Linked DNA regions of Schizosaccharomyces pombe. Each later gene encodes a partner of the first gene's protein in a complex. Each region holds a gene or a part of one and is shown in the gene's direction. Other genes may lie near its edges.

Region 1 (3,729 bases):
AACTAGAGATGGGAATGTCATCTTTGCTGTTGAATTTGATCTGTAATTTTGATTAATACCTCAAGCCAACAGCAGTGGATAGATGGCAAGTGATGTTTGCTAGGCGAACGGTATTATCTTTTTTTTTTTTGAAAAACTTTTGCTTTAATCGAAAAGATAATATGTTGGTCACAACTACTTTTCACAATACTTTTAGCCCTAATGTCTGCTCGTTTGCTATAATGAAAAAGACACCATTTTGATCGTTTACATCTCGATATATTTATTTGTTGTTAGATTCTCTCTTTTGAAGGATTATTGTTGTTCATATACTTAACTACTTGGCTAGTTAAAAAATAAATAATAAATAGCATTCCTAAAAAGTCGTTATGTTTACGACTCATTTACTTGACTGTATTCCCATCTTAGAATTGAAATTTATAAGTCGTCTTTTGTTGTATATAATTTAACTTAATACATGGAGTATTGAGAAATTCAAAGAGTTTTGTCATTTGCTTTTTTTGGCTATGGTTGACCATCCTCCCGTATCTAACCAGACACCAAGGTGCAAATGTGTTCTGTTGAGAAAATTGTGAGGTTGAGGCATAACTTGTTGTGTCACGTTCGAATTCATTTTAAAACAAAAGAAGACCTTGATATTCGGGCTTTCCTTTTTTCCCTACAGCGTGAATTGCATGCAGTTGCATTTCTCAACCAAGGATCCATCCGCACGCTCTACGAGAAAAGAGTAGTGGATATTACGAGTGAATCGGTCCAAAGCCATGCAATCATCGAAACTGCTAGAAATTTTGCACTACCAAATACTGCTGAAGAGGAGGAAAACATGGATCGAAAGCCAGAATTGCAGTTGAGTTTTAAAGGATCAATGACTAGTAAAATAATACATATTTATGTACAACCATTCGATTCATGAAAGAATGTATTTTGCGCCTTTTTACGTCTGCATGACTAAAATACACTCTATTTACAGCCTAATCTCATAAAAAACAAGTATTAAAAATTTGAGAAGTGAAAAAGCTGCTCAATTTAACTCGTATTCGTATTTTGGCGGATCACGTTCTTCTATACTTTTAACTACATCTTCTTATGACACGGATTACAAAGGCTTAAAAAATATAAGAGTTATTTCGATCCCAATTTTCAATTTTCAAACCAAAAACTTGAATTTTTATTATCCCCCAAAATACAAAAAAGATAAAACCAATTGCTCCCAGCAATAATGCTCATTTAATGATACCAAAAGATATAAGAATAGTACATCCTCTTTAACGACGTCTTTTCTGGACAACGGTGAATCCATCATCATCAACAATGGGTCCCTGCTGCTTTTCCTGCTGATTTTGAGCAGCTCCTCCATCCTCAGCATCAACAATCGTTTCGTCTTCTACCAATACCGGAGGATTTGACTCTTCTCTAGTTTTTTCCTTTCCTTCCTCCTTTTCAAGCAATTGTTTTCCGAGACGCTCATGGATTTCACGAATAGGTTCATAATTATCTTCGCAAGCAGCTTTCCACACATTAACCAAATCTTGAGCCAACTAAATAGACTGTTAATAGACGTATCACTTGATAATTATTTTAAATGCTAATAGAAGTAAAAAATTTTTAATATAGACAACAGAACGCAATATGTGTATAAACTCGAGCTTTTGACTAATATTCCAATATTTCGTCCTCAAACTTAAATCATTTTTTCGGTGCCAATATATATATACGAATCTTCAGTCTCAAGCAAGCTTGTTACGTTCTTTCTTGTTTGAAAAAAATCTTTACCTAATTTAGTATTGGTGAATACTTACGATATAGGGTGAGTCGTCTTCTATTGAACCAACATTGAATTCATCCTGCAGGACTTGAAGAATCAATTCTTCAACGTCCCATGCTTCCACATCGCTCGTAACTGTAATATAATCAACTAAAACTCCTGCCATCCAGTCTCGTTTATCGGCGGTATCGACATCGGCCCATTCTTCTTCAACAGCCTGTTTCATAACAGGCCATGAACATAAAAGAACACCGACAGCATATTCAAAATATGTCAGTCTCTTAGATGGGTCGTCAAACATGGCGAAAACACAGTGTCAATAACCCTCGTTCTTCTTCTCTACAAAGTCACCCTACCATAAAGTACTTTAAAATAAAATACACATACTTTTCCGATCCTCGTTATGTTGTTTATCACATTTATATATTATCATTAATTGACTTAAGGAAAGCTTATTTATGTTAAATAATTATAAGGGAAAAGACGCCGCTTCATTGCACATTTGTAAATAGGGCAATGTCAAAACTCTCTACTGCTAAAACGGTGCGCATTGATAACTTAGTTATTGTGGGTATTTAAAGGATTAGACTTACTTACTTTTCTTGTTTAATCCTAAAATTACTCTGAAGAATGAAGCTAAATTATGTGGGAATCGTGATTTCTCGTGCAATGCCAAAAACAGCGAAAGTGCGGGTTGCAAAAGAAAAGTTCCATCCAGTGGTGAAAAAGTATGTCACCCAATATCAAAACTATATGGTTCAAGATGATTTAAATTGTAATGTTGGAGATGCAGTTACAATACAGCCATGTAGGCCTCGGTCAGCGACTAAACGCTTTGAAATCATAAAAATCTTAAGCACAGCCAACCGTATGAGCCCAGCATCGGAGATTTCGAAAGAGTAAATAAAAAATCCCCATTAATTTTTGATGATTCCTAATGATTTCGATTGATCCATTGTGATAAGTCTTTCGCGGTGGTCATGAATATTGTAAATCGGTGATTGACCGCTCTTTCTTAACTTGCCAATTACCTGTATACACCGATATCGATTTTAACTGGAAATTTTTACATTCACAATGGCTACGTAATGTTGCAAATTGTAGATTGTGCATCAGAAGAGTCTCAAATCACATTCATTTCTAAAAGAAAACTACTCTTGTAGTACCATGTTTCCTGCTCCCAGCATTCAATGCCTTTAAATTTGTTTACAACTATGTCAATAATACTTCTGTAACATCTTTTTTTGTAAAAAGGGCAAGTGATTGAACAAGATGCATATAGACAGTAATATATTCAAAATAAAGCTTACAAAACATAATAAGTTGGGATTAAGTCTTAAGCAAATTTAAAACATCGTATACATTAACCCATAGCTGTATATCTTAACAAACTGGGGAATCATGAAAATACGTTGCAAACGATTGAATGAAAAACATACTTGTTCAACTAAGACGGTGCTCATAAGAAAGCGACAATGTATAAAGGATCATGACTAAAGCTTTAGCATGTCAGTAGGTCCTTTCGAAGAGCAAAACAGTCAGTAGCATATTTTATTAACAAAAAAATGAGCAAAGGATTCAACTTAATTAATACAAAGCTTTCAATCCCATCTCTACAGCAGCTGATCCCCAATCATTTCCATGGTTATGGCCACCATTCAAACCTGCACGATAAAGAGCTTGCTCTTCATTTAAAACTGTTAATAGACCTAGAATGACGGGAACACCTGAATCAAGGCCAACGCGCATAAGACCATGAACAACAGCTTCTGAAATATATTCAAAATGCATGGTGGAACCTTTGATTAAAACGCCAATGCCAATAACAGCATCATATGTATTGCGGGCGATGGAAGCACGAATACCTTGAGGAAGTTCCCAACTTCCCGGAACACTTTCAATGTCAATATTCTCCAACTTCACATCATGTTTTTCTATCATGGTCTCAACGGCACCCTTAACAA
Region 2 (3,759 bases), on another chromosome or scaffold:
CCGACTCTTATTTTATTCAACGGGAAAACACTCCTACAAATCACAATTCCATTCCTACTATTCAGTTGGAGAAAAGTTCCATGGACTTTTTGAGGTTCGATCCTCCTCCTTCTGCTGTAAAAACTTCTCACAACTATGGATTACCATTTCTATCTAATCAGAGGTGTCCCGCTACGCCTACTCGTAACCCATTTGCGTTTGAAAATACTGTTTCCATTCACATGGACGGTCGGCAACCTTCGCCTATCAAATCGAGAAATAATAATCAAATGTCATTTGCCATGGAGGAAGAAGCTGATGTATCTCAACCCTCTTCTTCAAGCTTTACATTATCCTTTCCTTCTGCTCTCACCTCGTCCAAAGTATCATCATCTACTTCACATTTGCTTACACGGTTTAGAAATGTTACTTTACTAGGAAGTGGAGAGTTTAGTGAGGTTTTTCAAGTTGAAGACCCTGTGGAAAAAACTTTAAAGTATGCAGTGAAAAAGCTCAAGGTAAAGTTTAGTGGACCAAAAGAACGTAATCGACTACTTCAGGAAGTCTCTATTCAACGAGCCCTTAAAGGCCATGATCACATTGTAGAGCTTATGGACTCATGGGAACATGGGGGGTTTCTTTATATGCAAGTCGAATTGTGTGAAAATGGTAGTTTGGATCGTTTTCTTGAAGAGCAAGGACAACTTTCAAGGCTCGATGAATTTAGGGTATGGAAAATATTAGTAGAAGTAGCTCTTGGGCTACAGTTTATTCATCATAAAAATTATGTTCATTTGGATTTAAAGCCTGCTAATGTTATGATAACATTCGAGGGTACCTTGAAGATTGGTGATTTTGGAATGGCCAGTGTTTGGCCTGTTCCGAGAGGCATGGAAAGAGAAGGTGATTGTGAATACATTGCGCCTGAGGTTCTTGCTAACCATTTGTATGATAAACCTGCTGATATTTTCAGTTTGGGTATCACAGTCTTCGAAGCTGCTGCTAACATTGTTCTTCCTGATAACGGTCAGTCTTGGCAGAAATTACGTTCCGGTGACTTATCAGATGCTCCTCGACTTTCTTCAACAGACAACGGTTCATCTCTTACTTCTTCTTCTCGTGAAACACCGGCTAATAGTATAATAGGCCAAGGGGGACTTGATCGCGTTGTAGAGTGGATGCTATCTCCAGAGCCTAGGAACCGACCTACCATAGATCAAATTTTGGCAACTGATGAGGTTTGCTGGGTTGAAATGCGTAGAAAAGCCGGAGCCATAATTTATGAAGGTATTCATGGATCTTCTTCTAACCCCCAGGGTGATCAAATGATGGAAGATTGGCAGGTGAATGTTTAAACCTTTTAGAGACTCTTGTTCTCAATGTTTATTACTGCGAAATTGCGAAATAAGGGAATGGCTTCCAAAATCTGTTTAGCTTCATAAAAGCAAACACTTTAATTATTTTTAAACGAAAAGTTTAGTGATTGGTGCTTATAATTAATTTTGGTTCATTAAATGCTTTTTTTTTATTTAAGGATACGTGTCCGTTTTAACCGAACCCTTAAATTTTAAAAAATTTTAAAAAATTATTAGATGATAGTTTTTCTATTTAATTTTTTGCCTTTTCACCGGATTATCTATTTGGTTTTCTTCAGTCAAATATCCGGTTAATTATATCTGAGGCAATATGATGATGGCTATGGAAACATGCCATTCAGTTCTTGATATGGGGAACTAGAATGTTTCCTTAATTTAAAGCCTTGACGCCGCACATACTGTACGTGCTTTGTCTACTGAAAAAATGTTAGTGAACGATTGTTTTTTATATCGCAAATCCTTTCTCTAACATGTAGACTCGGCTTCAGAGGAGTTATTATTCCTATTTTTCATCTATTTTATTGTCTAATTTCTTATGTCACTCGTTTGTTATCGACTTGATATGTTGCATTTACTCATCTTTGCTAGCATAAAGTTCGAATCCCGACTGTTTATCCACTTTTTTTTGACTTCTGTTTTCATAATAATTTAGATCGATCGATGACACTGCCTATTATTCTTGTACATAGTTTACGATCTTGCTGAATGGCAAATAATTGGTTATGTTTATGGAAAATGCCACGATTTACTAACGAAGTTTAATAACCCGTTAGATTTTTTATTATTATCATATCATATAATAATTAGTAATAATGTTAACGTTATGCTTAGTTCCACTTCTGTAATTTTTAATTTCCCTTTTTTTTTATGCTTGTGAAAGCTGTGTATATGCTCAAGTTTGTGATGCCTTCAAATTAGTATAGGATTTTAATGACCCGTTTAACACTTCATATCTAAATAAACATTTATTTTGAAACAGAAAAGTTAGAAAATTCAGGTATCATCACGTTTTCATTTATCAGACACAAGCATAAGCTATAAACTATTTAACGAGTGTCTCATTATTTCACTAAACACCTTCAAACATTGAAATATTACTTTGACAACAGCACGGGAGAAAAATGCTTGGGAGACGAATATTTTCTCCAGCTCCAAACAGAGGATTTATTTTATGCAATCTCATACAATCTAATAACTCTACGCGAAGAGGGTTTTCGGACAATCGAAAATTTAATGAGAGAAATTCTGAAGCATCTTCAAATGTAGGATTTCAGAGAAGAGTTCGCTCAAATATTCCATCATATTTATCAGCCTCCGTAGAAGAAGGTGATATTTACTCTCCCAATGATTTACTGTTTGAAACGGTAAAGGCGAAAAATCAAGCCAAATTCTATGAACCAGTAAGAGAAGATTGCTTTAAGACGGTGAACGAAAACCCTATGAATTATTGGAAAAACCCCGTAATATTGTCAAGATTCGTTACTGAACTTGGTCGTATTAAACCCAGAGGTGATACTGGCCTAACAGCAAAAAATCAACGACTTCTTTCTAGGGCTATCCGAAGGGCTCGAGCTGCTGGTATAATGCCGACGAAATACAAATCAGTTTATTCGGAAAATTAAATTGTACTGAATATTAACAAGGACGTTCTATATCTCATTTCATCACATTGGTAGATATACTTACCCACTGTCCCTTACTTTTTTTTTCTTAAGGAACGATAAACGATCTACTTTACTTTTTAAATGATTAGCTCACGTTAATTAATATTTCAGGTGTACTTTGGTTTTGAATAGTCTTTTTTGGATTAAAATATACATGACACAAAATCATAAACCGCTGCTAATATTAGTGGCTAACATTTTTTAATGGCTTTAAAAATATAATATCTTTGTTATCTTTAATTTTTAATTTAGCTTGATTGAACTTTTTTGTAGGAGGAGCGTTAGTCGATACAATGTATTAAAAAAATTATCTAGTAGTAGTTATTTTACTTATCTAAAGAGGACAGAGAGGGAAGAACAAATAATTATATGCAAAAGAAGAAAAAATCCATCTAGAAAAGAATTGGGTTTTATAGAACGATATTAAAACGATGAGTGCATCATGGAGCTAGTTCAAAATATATGCAATAGGGCTTTTCATGAAGGTATATGAGATAAAAGAACAGAAGTTAAATCAGCTTGTGGTATGTAATTCTCCGACTTTAACGAAATTAGAGATCCTGAGAACTTAGAAGAATGACCTAAAGCTGTAAATAGCTGAGCACTCTTATAGGGATCTGAACTCTTTTTATGAACCCTTTGAATGGCCCACTCGATTGAATATAAAGCTTCGTGAATGGCTTGCAAAGGTGGTATATTACAAGCCAGATTCGATGCAATGGCAGCTGTAAGAGAGCAAC
Region 3 (3,759 bases), 3.1 Mb from region 1:
TTCTAAAAAACGGAGGCAGAGTTCAACAAGAAAATCTTCTTTTTTATTTTTTTTGGCGACATTAATCCAAATGGGAGTTATTTTTGCCAACGTTTCAACCTCCAGTTTTGAATACACAATGAGGCAAAGATCAGGATTTTTATCAAAACATTCGGCAAACCGTTTTTTCACGTAAATTAGGAATGGGTTTTTATGTTTGTCAAAAGGCACAGTAACCTTTTCAGTTTTATTATCAGCATAGACTTCACTGACTTTTCGGATAATGTACATTAAATCGTTTTCACTAAGAACAGCACCTGCGCTGGAAGGCAAACACTTGTGAAATAATTGATTTTCTGCAAAACTTGAGAGAAATGCTTCGTTTGAAGCAGATTTCGAGTATTTATGTAATTCATCAGAAGACGCTTGTCGAGGCCTGCACCCAGTTACCTTTTCATGATGAACGCTAAGCTGGTTTAGTGACCGCACAACAAGACGATTTGGGAAAGGGATTTTAAATTCCCTTAAACGTAAATGTTTTGTCCATGCAAAAAGTAGTGGAGATACACAATTTCGCATCTCTTAGCCTGGCAAGCAGACAAAAGTCGTCCCCAAAACGAGAGGCGTGGAAACGAAAAGACGCGTTATGAAGAAAAGAAACGATAATCAAATTAAAAGGATCACTATTAATGAGAGAAGGGGGTACTTGATAAAAAAAGAAAACGAGAACTCGATACGAGATGATGCATATACTTCCGTTCCCTTTCTATATGATGCGATAATTCAAACATTAAACTGTGCGAAAAGGCTCAATAATGCATCTAAACATTTCATCCAAGGTTTCCAAAAAACAGAAGGTGGTATAAATACAGCTAACTGAGCAAACCTTCCAACGTTGCGAAGTTGGGTTCTAAGCAAAACCTAAGATTGCTATTTCCTCATTAACAGGCAGCGTTAGTGAATTAACGGAAACCATCGCTATAGTTTATTTACGTTATTTTGTTATAATAGCTCGTTATTGTGTAAACATGGAAAGAACATTCATGAGTAAAAAAGAGGTCCCTTAATATAATTAAATGCAGAATATCCCTCTAAACTATTAAACTATCATTCATCGATCCTCTTAAGAATCGCTAATGAATAACGATCAATCGGCCATCATCATATATAGGAATGGCATTGAATGCAACCAGCATTTAGGCACGTTTGTTGACTCATTAGTATTTAATCAGCATTTACAATATCATCGAATACACTTTCGTCAAAGAACACAAGTGTAGTCTATTTACCTTACTTCTTCGTTATAAGCTACAGATTAACCTTACCTAGGTTATATAACACTCATCATCCAGAAGCGAATATCGTATTCTAGCATTGAGATTGCCAGCTAGCAGGTAAAATCAAATACGGAGTATAAATATGACTGCGTTATAAGTGAAGAAATGAAAATAACTGCTAAAAATGTATGAGCAGGCAAGAATTCAAGTAGTTGATGTCCATTCATAATAATACTGTACGATCAATGGCTTTAAATATTTGCAGCACTTCATTTTCACTTCAGAACATGCTAGGTGTAGCGGCATTTGCTGCGCTAATTTACTCAGTCAGTTTATGACAAAATCAAATTAGCAAATACGCATACAGCTTCACAAATACAGTACAGCCATTTAATTTGCTTTACGAAACATATAATTGATTTTGTCTAATTAATCTTAAAATTTTTTTGGAGTTTTTTGAACCATTGTTATTAATAATTCTAACGGCTGCCGGTAAATATTTAATGAAATCAGTGAAAATTAAAAGTATAAAAAAAAAAAAGTTTATTCCATAACAAAAAATTTTTAAGTATTAAAAAATTTTTAAGCAGTTTAACTTGCTTTCCTATGGCGTTAACGATTGATAAAAAAATATAAAAAAATAAAGGCAATAAACTCTATATACCTTTAGCAATTATAAAAAAAATATCTAAAAAATAATAGGGACTTTCAATCCATAAAATTAATTTAGATGAACAATCGCTTAGTTTAAATTCCGAATTTACAAACAAGCCATATCTTAGCAAAAAAAAGGCAATAGATGTGTTTAAATTTATAAATAACTATTTCATTAATAGTGTTCGTATCCTTGTGTGTTCTGAAATAAATATTCATAATATCTTACCATTAGGTTATACTCAGTAGCTACTAAGATGAGGCACACTAGTACCGTCAGCTAACACTAGCTTGGCCAGCCCAATTCCTCTTGGAAGCCATTTTCACCAAAAAAGTTGGTTTCTTGCGCTTATAATTCACTTTTTTAGCAGACTATCCATATAAGCGATTGTTTATTACCTCAAGTCATACTCTCCATTATTTATAGCGCCGTGGATGTGTTTTGCATAATTAACCCATCTCAATCATTATTCAATCCTTACTTCCATTTTCACGTTTCTATTACTGATTATTTTACTAATATACTATTTAATAACTTTTTCAGGAGGAAGATCCAATGCCGAAATTTAATGCAAATGGTTTGCTACGCAGCTTTGCAGCTGAAATGAAAAAGCCATGGACAGCAGAGTCTTTATGGTACGAAACGGTTGCTAAACATCCCCCAACCTTTCAATATGCTAGACGTATTGTACCATTGTACGATCCAAATAAGGTAAAATCCCGTGGTAAACGGTTACGAAAATCAATGTATCAGCCTCAGGAAATTCAATGGCCAGAAGATAAACTCCGTAAAAGGTTTTATCGAGATCATCCTTGGGAACTAGCAAGGCCTCAAATCATTGCAGAAAATGACGGTAATGATCAGCAATATTGTGATTGGAGTCACATGGATCAACCGCGCAAAGCATTATCTGGCGAGAGTGTAGTGCAAAGAACTTTATGGCTGATTGAAAACTCTAACATGCCTGTAGAAAATGCTTATGATCAAGCAAGAAAGGAATTTTATCACCTACGCGCTGAACAAGAAATTCAGCAACGCGTTGCCCATGATCAGGCTCAAGCATTGGGTGCTGTATTTACAAAATCTGATCTGGAGTTGGGCTATGAAATGGATCAAAATGCTTTAAATTCTTGGTTTGATAATGCTTCACAATACGCTGAGGCTAATCGTACAAAGTTCACAGACCCGAGTGTAGATATCTCTAAGACGACTCAGTAGTATTTAAATTCACAGCTGATATATCATATTGTCTCCTCAAAAATTGATTTTTGTTTTGTTTTTTTTTTTTTCAGAATTTTCTTAGTACTATCCCCTTTCAAAAATAAAACAGATATTTTTCATCTCTTTATGTCTTCAAATTAAAACAATCTATCAGAACACATTAAATTTCTACCATCTATTTGAATACATATATATATATTATAAATATTATTCAAAGCTATAGCAAGCTTTTCAGATGACACTGCCGTTTAGCCAGCTAGCGAACTTTCGCTCCAAACTTTTAAAAGTGCTTTAAAAAAAGTTCATCATTTATTGAGCAGCCAACATAGATAAGAAGATGATAGCGTCTATACCCATAACACTTTTTGTCAGGAAAGGAAAAATTTTTCTAATATTAAACGATTGCCAGTAATTGATTTTAGTCATGAATCACGAAATGCCACTTTTTTTCCCAAACAAAAAGTTAAGATACATATCAAAAAAACCAAACTCATGCCTCAACAGGATTGGTCACCATCTCACCTATGTAGACTCTAAAAATTACCATCATTTACCTTCCTTTCTTAGGTCGAGGTTTTATTTCGTCTTGCGGAACAGGGTGGAGCATGATTTTATTGGGCAATTGCG
Region 4 (4,346 bases), 610 kb from region 1:
ATGAAGAAGATGCTGAAGACGAAACTATGGATGGGTGCTTGAAATCCATGATATTTGAGCCATCCACATAACTGGATGGATCAGCGTTTTCAGTGGGATTGGAAATCGCAGTGTTTTCGAGTTGACGATGAATATCCTTGAGCGACGAGTGTTGGGAAGGACACATAGCGAAGCGAATACCAAACAGTCGTTTTGGATATGAGTCAAGGAGAACGAAAGGTATTTATAGGTATTTAAAGAATGAAAAGTTTCCAAGACAAAAAGAGAAAGATTAAAAAAAGAAAAAAGAAAAAACACTCAGTAGTAATGGAGAGAATTCGAATTTCCGAACTTCTTGTTGATGAAACGCTAACCGCAAAAAAAAATTTAACAATACACCGTTTAATAAACGAGAAATTAGAAGAAAAGCGGGATTATTTCAAAAAAGGAGAGGAAGCGAAAACTAAAGGAAAGATAGAATGGGTGGAAATTGTAGTAGGAAAGCAAATAAAATTGGAACCCAAGAAAACGCCTATAGTAGTTGTCTTTGAGCGAAGGAAAGTATAAAACAACAAAAAATTAGGTTTTTCCTCTTTCAAGTTGAATTATTATGAAACCGGGTTGAACAGGAATCTTCAAGGTAAGCGACCCCAAGAACGCACTCGTTCACGAACTAACCAAGTAAACGAGACAAGATGAACAAGCTTGACAGGATAAACAATGAAAGAAGAAAAACTTATAAAAACTAAATATATAAAGGGGAATATAGTAAAAATTGGCCCCCAAGCTGCGTTATAAGGAATTGACAGCAATTATATGATGACGGAGAAGAAAGGAGTAGAAACTGACGCAAGGCAGGATGTAAACGTCAAATCTTCAGGTGTTCCGATATGTAATGAGTCTTAAAACTGCTACTAGCCTAAAACCTAGCACCGTTCATCCACAAAGCGATGTCCAAAGAAACGTTTCAATCCGATGTTCCTATTTTGCTTGAATCCGTCGACACAACACACTGACTTGACAGTAACCGGGAGTACGATGGCAAAAATCAATGTCAGTGGATCCAGCAATTCGTAACAACACCAAAAGAATGGGCAATTCAGAACAAGATCAAAATGCTAACTAAAAGAAGCCTAGGTGTTGGGAAATCTCAAAATACCAATTAACCGAACTCCCCAAACAACGATTCGTACGAAAGCAACAAAAACCCTCTAAGATTCAATCAATAGCTTTCTTGATCACTAGAAATTTTCAAGAACGGATGGAGTTAAATATTCAACAGGGATGCGCAATCTACGCGAGTCTTAAGTTATGTTTTGCTGTCGCTAAGTAGAATTTATGGGAGGGAGGAAAAAGCTAAAAGTAGACGAAGCCGCTTAAGCTAAGGAATGTCTATAGCGATTAACATTACGTTATAAGGATTGCGTGGTGAAAAGAAGGTTGGCAAACTACGCATTACATGAGTAACGTTCGTTTATGGTATCTCGTATACGCATTCTACAATCGCTTACAGTATTCCTGTTTAGCAAACTCGATACAAGCAAAGCATACCTTGAACAACGTGGAGAATGCTCGCTTTGTAGTATTCGTGTTACCGTAATTCGTGCTGTATCTCACTCCGGGGGTAGTGAATATGATCAATTCACACTGCTTATAAAGAGAAATAGAGTCAGCAGGAAGTAGAAAGATAAATGGAAGGAAAAGAACGTAATTTCTATCCCAGAAAACGTTTGAAATGATCTTTTGAAATTATGTTTTGTTTGTAAGTATGAACGAAAAGCAAGGCACAACGCTATTTTATAAACAACGGAGTGCACAATACGATACGTCCATCTGCTTTCCATCCTTGATACCTGCATTGTCTTCGTGTTTACTCAAGTTGCTCTTAACCATACTCCTACCACCAAGTGGGAAAGACGGGATTTGTAGGACTCGTTGAAAACCGGCTCTTCTCAATGGTAGTAAAAATTCGTTTGGCGCGTCATGGCGTCAGAAATAGACCTTTTTACCATATCGTAGTTGCGAATGCATGGTAAGTAGGATGAAAACATACCTAGACGGTTGTTTCGTGTTTTACAACACTTGTAGCGGTTCACGTAAAGGGGAAAGTTTTTGTACAGGATTTAGTAAGGGAGATGGCTTGATGTGGGTTATGAAAGAATGGAAGATAAAATGCTAAAAGACTGCTTTTTTTTGACGGTTCCTTTGGCTCTAAATTGCGATCTTTTTTAGAAGCTTTAGTTTTCAGGTATTCCTGGATGCTCTCATCTATTTAATCTAGTCTTTCTACATAGTATTCAAAATGCCAAGGACACCAACCACAATTTTTCTTATTAATTGACTATTTATTGTGGTTTGGCCCCCTTGGCCTCTATTAACTGTTTACATATCACCTGTACATCCTTTTTTTTCTCCTTCATCCATTCCTGTCTTTTGGTTCGACTTTGTTAACTCAATATAGGAAAGCACCTCAAGCCAAACCTATCGAAACCATCGGCACTTTTGATCCCATCCCTAAGAAGATTGATTCTCAGGACTCCATTCCTCGTATAAAAGATATCCAGCTCAACGTTGAACGTTTTAAATATTGGATAAGTGTAGGAGCACAACCATCCGACACCGTCCGCTCTTTAGCTGAAAAGGTATGCCCAAGCTCTCTTTATCTATTTTTATGACTAGTCCAAATTCGTTAAACTTTCTTTCAACTCTCTTTTTTGACTAAAATTTTCGACCCGCTTGCGATATACCGCTCGGGTGATTTTTCTCATGTTCCCTAACTGCCCGGCTTTCCGAAATGGAGTGTAGGATCTCATCCCTGTTTTCGTTACGATTTGGCTACTAATTTACTTGTTTTACTTCTTTCTATCAATCTATCAATTCTTACTAACGTTACTTTTTTCACTTTTAGTTCCAGTTGCTTCCTAAAAAACCCGTTTCTTGAAACTCACTATAATCGTTATTGCTCAAGTCATGACATTTCTTTTTTACGACCACTTCACAATGTCTAGATATCTTTAACACATTTTTTATTTTTTTTTACACTTTATCTCTGTGATCACGCTAATTACCTCTCTCAACTAAATTTCATAATTTTTGACCGATTTTACCCTTCCGTACTGTTTTTTTAAAACCACGTTTTTTGGCTGAGTGCGATATTTGTTTTCTTTACGATTCTTTTTATTACAATATCACCTTTTTTTTTTTAATTCCTTCTCCACATTATCGTTAGCGTAGTGATATCTTAATTTCTAAATTTTTTAAAGTGTCTATCTATCTGAGGTTATGCGCTAGTTGAAAGCGCTCATAATTTGATGCTATCCATTTGTAATTACTTGTTGCTTTGTACTTAAAATTGTTTGGTAATGAGAAATCTTGGTACCAATATTTTGCCTTTGTAATTTTTAGCTTTTGCGTTTATGGTTAAAATGGATCTTCACTTTATACTGAAACTTCATTTCGTTTACTGATGTTATACCCTTATTTTTTTAGAAACAAATTAACAGCTTCATTTCAAATATTTAGGTTAATATCGGTGTATCTATTATTGCTTAGATTTTTGGACTTTCCGTTCGGAAACGGCAATGCGCTTTGTTGCTTTCCTGATTTCCTCATTCGTTTAATTGGAACTGAACACGTTCATTAATAGCCAATTGCAATAGTTGTACAATTCTAACAAATCATTCCTGTACTTCCGTTGAATTTATAAAAGACTTGTCTCAAAGGATTTAAAATCGTTCAACAATGAATATTAACAACTTAATCGTTTGTAACAAAATATTATAAATGGTGAACTAGCCTTATAAGCTAATTTATTAACTGTACCAGAAGCAATTTACTTTGGTATTATTACCATATTTCATCAACCAGTCCAACTCTACACCACTACATTTATTCATGCACCGAACAGTGTAATTTTCAATTAATGCATTAAATACAAGCTAAACATCACAAACCAAATAGTATGTAAAAATAAACTTGAAAAAGAAAGCGAGAAATCACTTAATGAAAAAAAAAAATCTACTACCAAATCTCGAAATGAGTATAGATCAAATTGCAATGCTTTTTCCCTGACATGCATATGTGTAACCGACATATAAGTAATAAACTAGTATACCGCATAGATAATCTAAATGAAAAGTGCTGATTTCGTACTAAAAGCCAACCGTTAAAAGAACCTTTAGTAAAATCGTTGATCGTAAAACTTCAGTTGAACGTTTAAAGAGCGAAAGATACCTATATACTTTCAAGCATTATTTTAAGCCCTGATTGCACAACCAAGAGAGCTTTTGGGCCAATCCTCCCAAAAGTAGAAAAAAGGACACTGTTAAGGACGGAAAACTATAGCAGCCCGAAAAGCACACATAAAT

Evidence for each region.
Region 2: mrps17 (region 1) and rsm18 share a complex: the UniProt entries of both Schizosaccharomyces pombe proteins name them as parts of the mitochondrial small ribosomal subunit.
Region 3: mrps17 (region 1) and rsm25 share a complex: the UniProt entries of both Schizosaccharomyces pombe proteins name them as parts of the mitochondrial small ribosomal subunit.
Region 4: mrps17 (region 1) and mrps16 share a complex: the UniProt entries of both Schizosaccharomyces pombe proteins name them as parts of the mitochondrial small ribosomal subunit.

The regions. Positions count from the first base shown.
Region 1 is NC_003423.3:1,165,871-1,169,599, reverse strand, and holds mrps17 (mitochondrial 37S ribosomal protein uS17m), read left to right. Parts: upstream 1-2,302; 5' UTR 2,303-2,395; coding exon 2,396-2,668; 3' UTR 2,669-3,080; downstream 3,081-3,729. Other genes in the region: protein duc2, read left to right, coding at 1-46; DNA recombination protein Saw1, read left to right, coding at 551-913; rRNA processing protein Tsr2, read right to left, coding at 1,266-1,538, 1,800-2,066; rib4 (6,7-dimethyl-8-ribityllumazine synthase), read right to left, coding at 3,353-3,729. UniProt on the Schizosaccharomyces pombe protein: Component of the mitochondrial ribosome (mitoribosome), a dedicated translation machinery responsible for the synthesis of mitochondrial genome-encoded proteins, including at least some of the essential transmembrane subunits of the mitochondrial respiratory chain.
Region 2 is NC_003421.2:723,534-727,292, forward strand, and holds rsm18 (mitochondrial 37S ribosomal protein bS18m), read left to right. Parts: upstream 1-2,456; 5' UTR 2,457-2,476; coding exon 2,477-2,977; 3' UTR 2,978-3,259; downstream 3,260-3,759. Other genes in the region: protein kinase Wee1, read left to right, coding at 1-1,334; SPOM_SPCC18B5.05C (phosphomethylpyrimidine kinase), read right to left, coding at 3,497-3,759. UniProt on the Schizosaccharomyces pombe protein: Component of the mitochondrial ribosome (mitoribosome), a dedicated translation machinery responsible for the synthesis of mitochondrial genome-encoded proteins, including at least some of the essential transmembrane subunits of the mitochondrial respiratory chain.
Region 3 is NC_003423.3:4,290,396-4,294,154, reverse strand, and holds rsm25 (mitochondrial 37S ribosomal protein mS23), read left to right. Parts: upstream 1-2,192; 5' UTR 2,193-2,466; coding exon 2,467-3,129; 3' UTR 3,130-3,259; downstream 3,260-3,759. Other genes in the region: PPR repeat-containing protein Ppr7, read right to left, coding at 1-558; nucleoporin Rae1, read right to left, coding at 3,683-3,759. UniProt on the Schizosaccharomyces pombe protein: Component of the mitochondrial ribosome (mitoribosome), a dedicated translation machinery responsible for the synthesis of mitochondrial genome-encoded proteins, including at least some of the essential transmembrane subunits of the mitochondrial respiratory chain.
Region 4 is NC_003423.3:553,959-558,304, forward strand, and holds mrps16 (mitochondrial ribosomal protein subunit S16), read left to right. Parts: upstream 1-1,866; 5' UTR 1,867-1,934; coding exon 1,935-2,011; exon of another isoform or gene 2,012-2,440; coding exon 2,441-2,621; intron 2,622-2,887; coding exon 2,888-2,920; 3' UTR 2,921-3,290; downstream 3,291-4,346. Other genes in the region: sre2 (membrane-tethered transcription factor), read right to left, coding at 1-166. UniProt on the Schizosaccharomyces pombe protein: Component of the mitochondrial ribosome (mitoribosome), a dedicated translation machinery responsible for the synthesis of mitochondrial genome-encoded proteins, including at least some of the essential transmembrane subunits of the mitochondrial respiratory chain.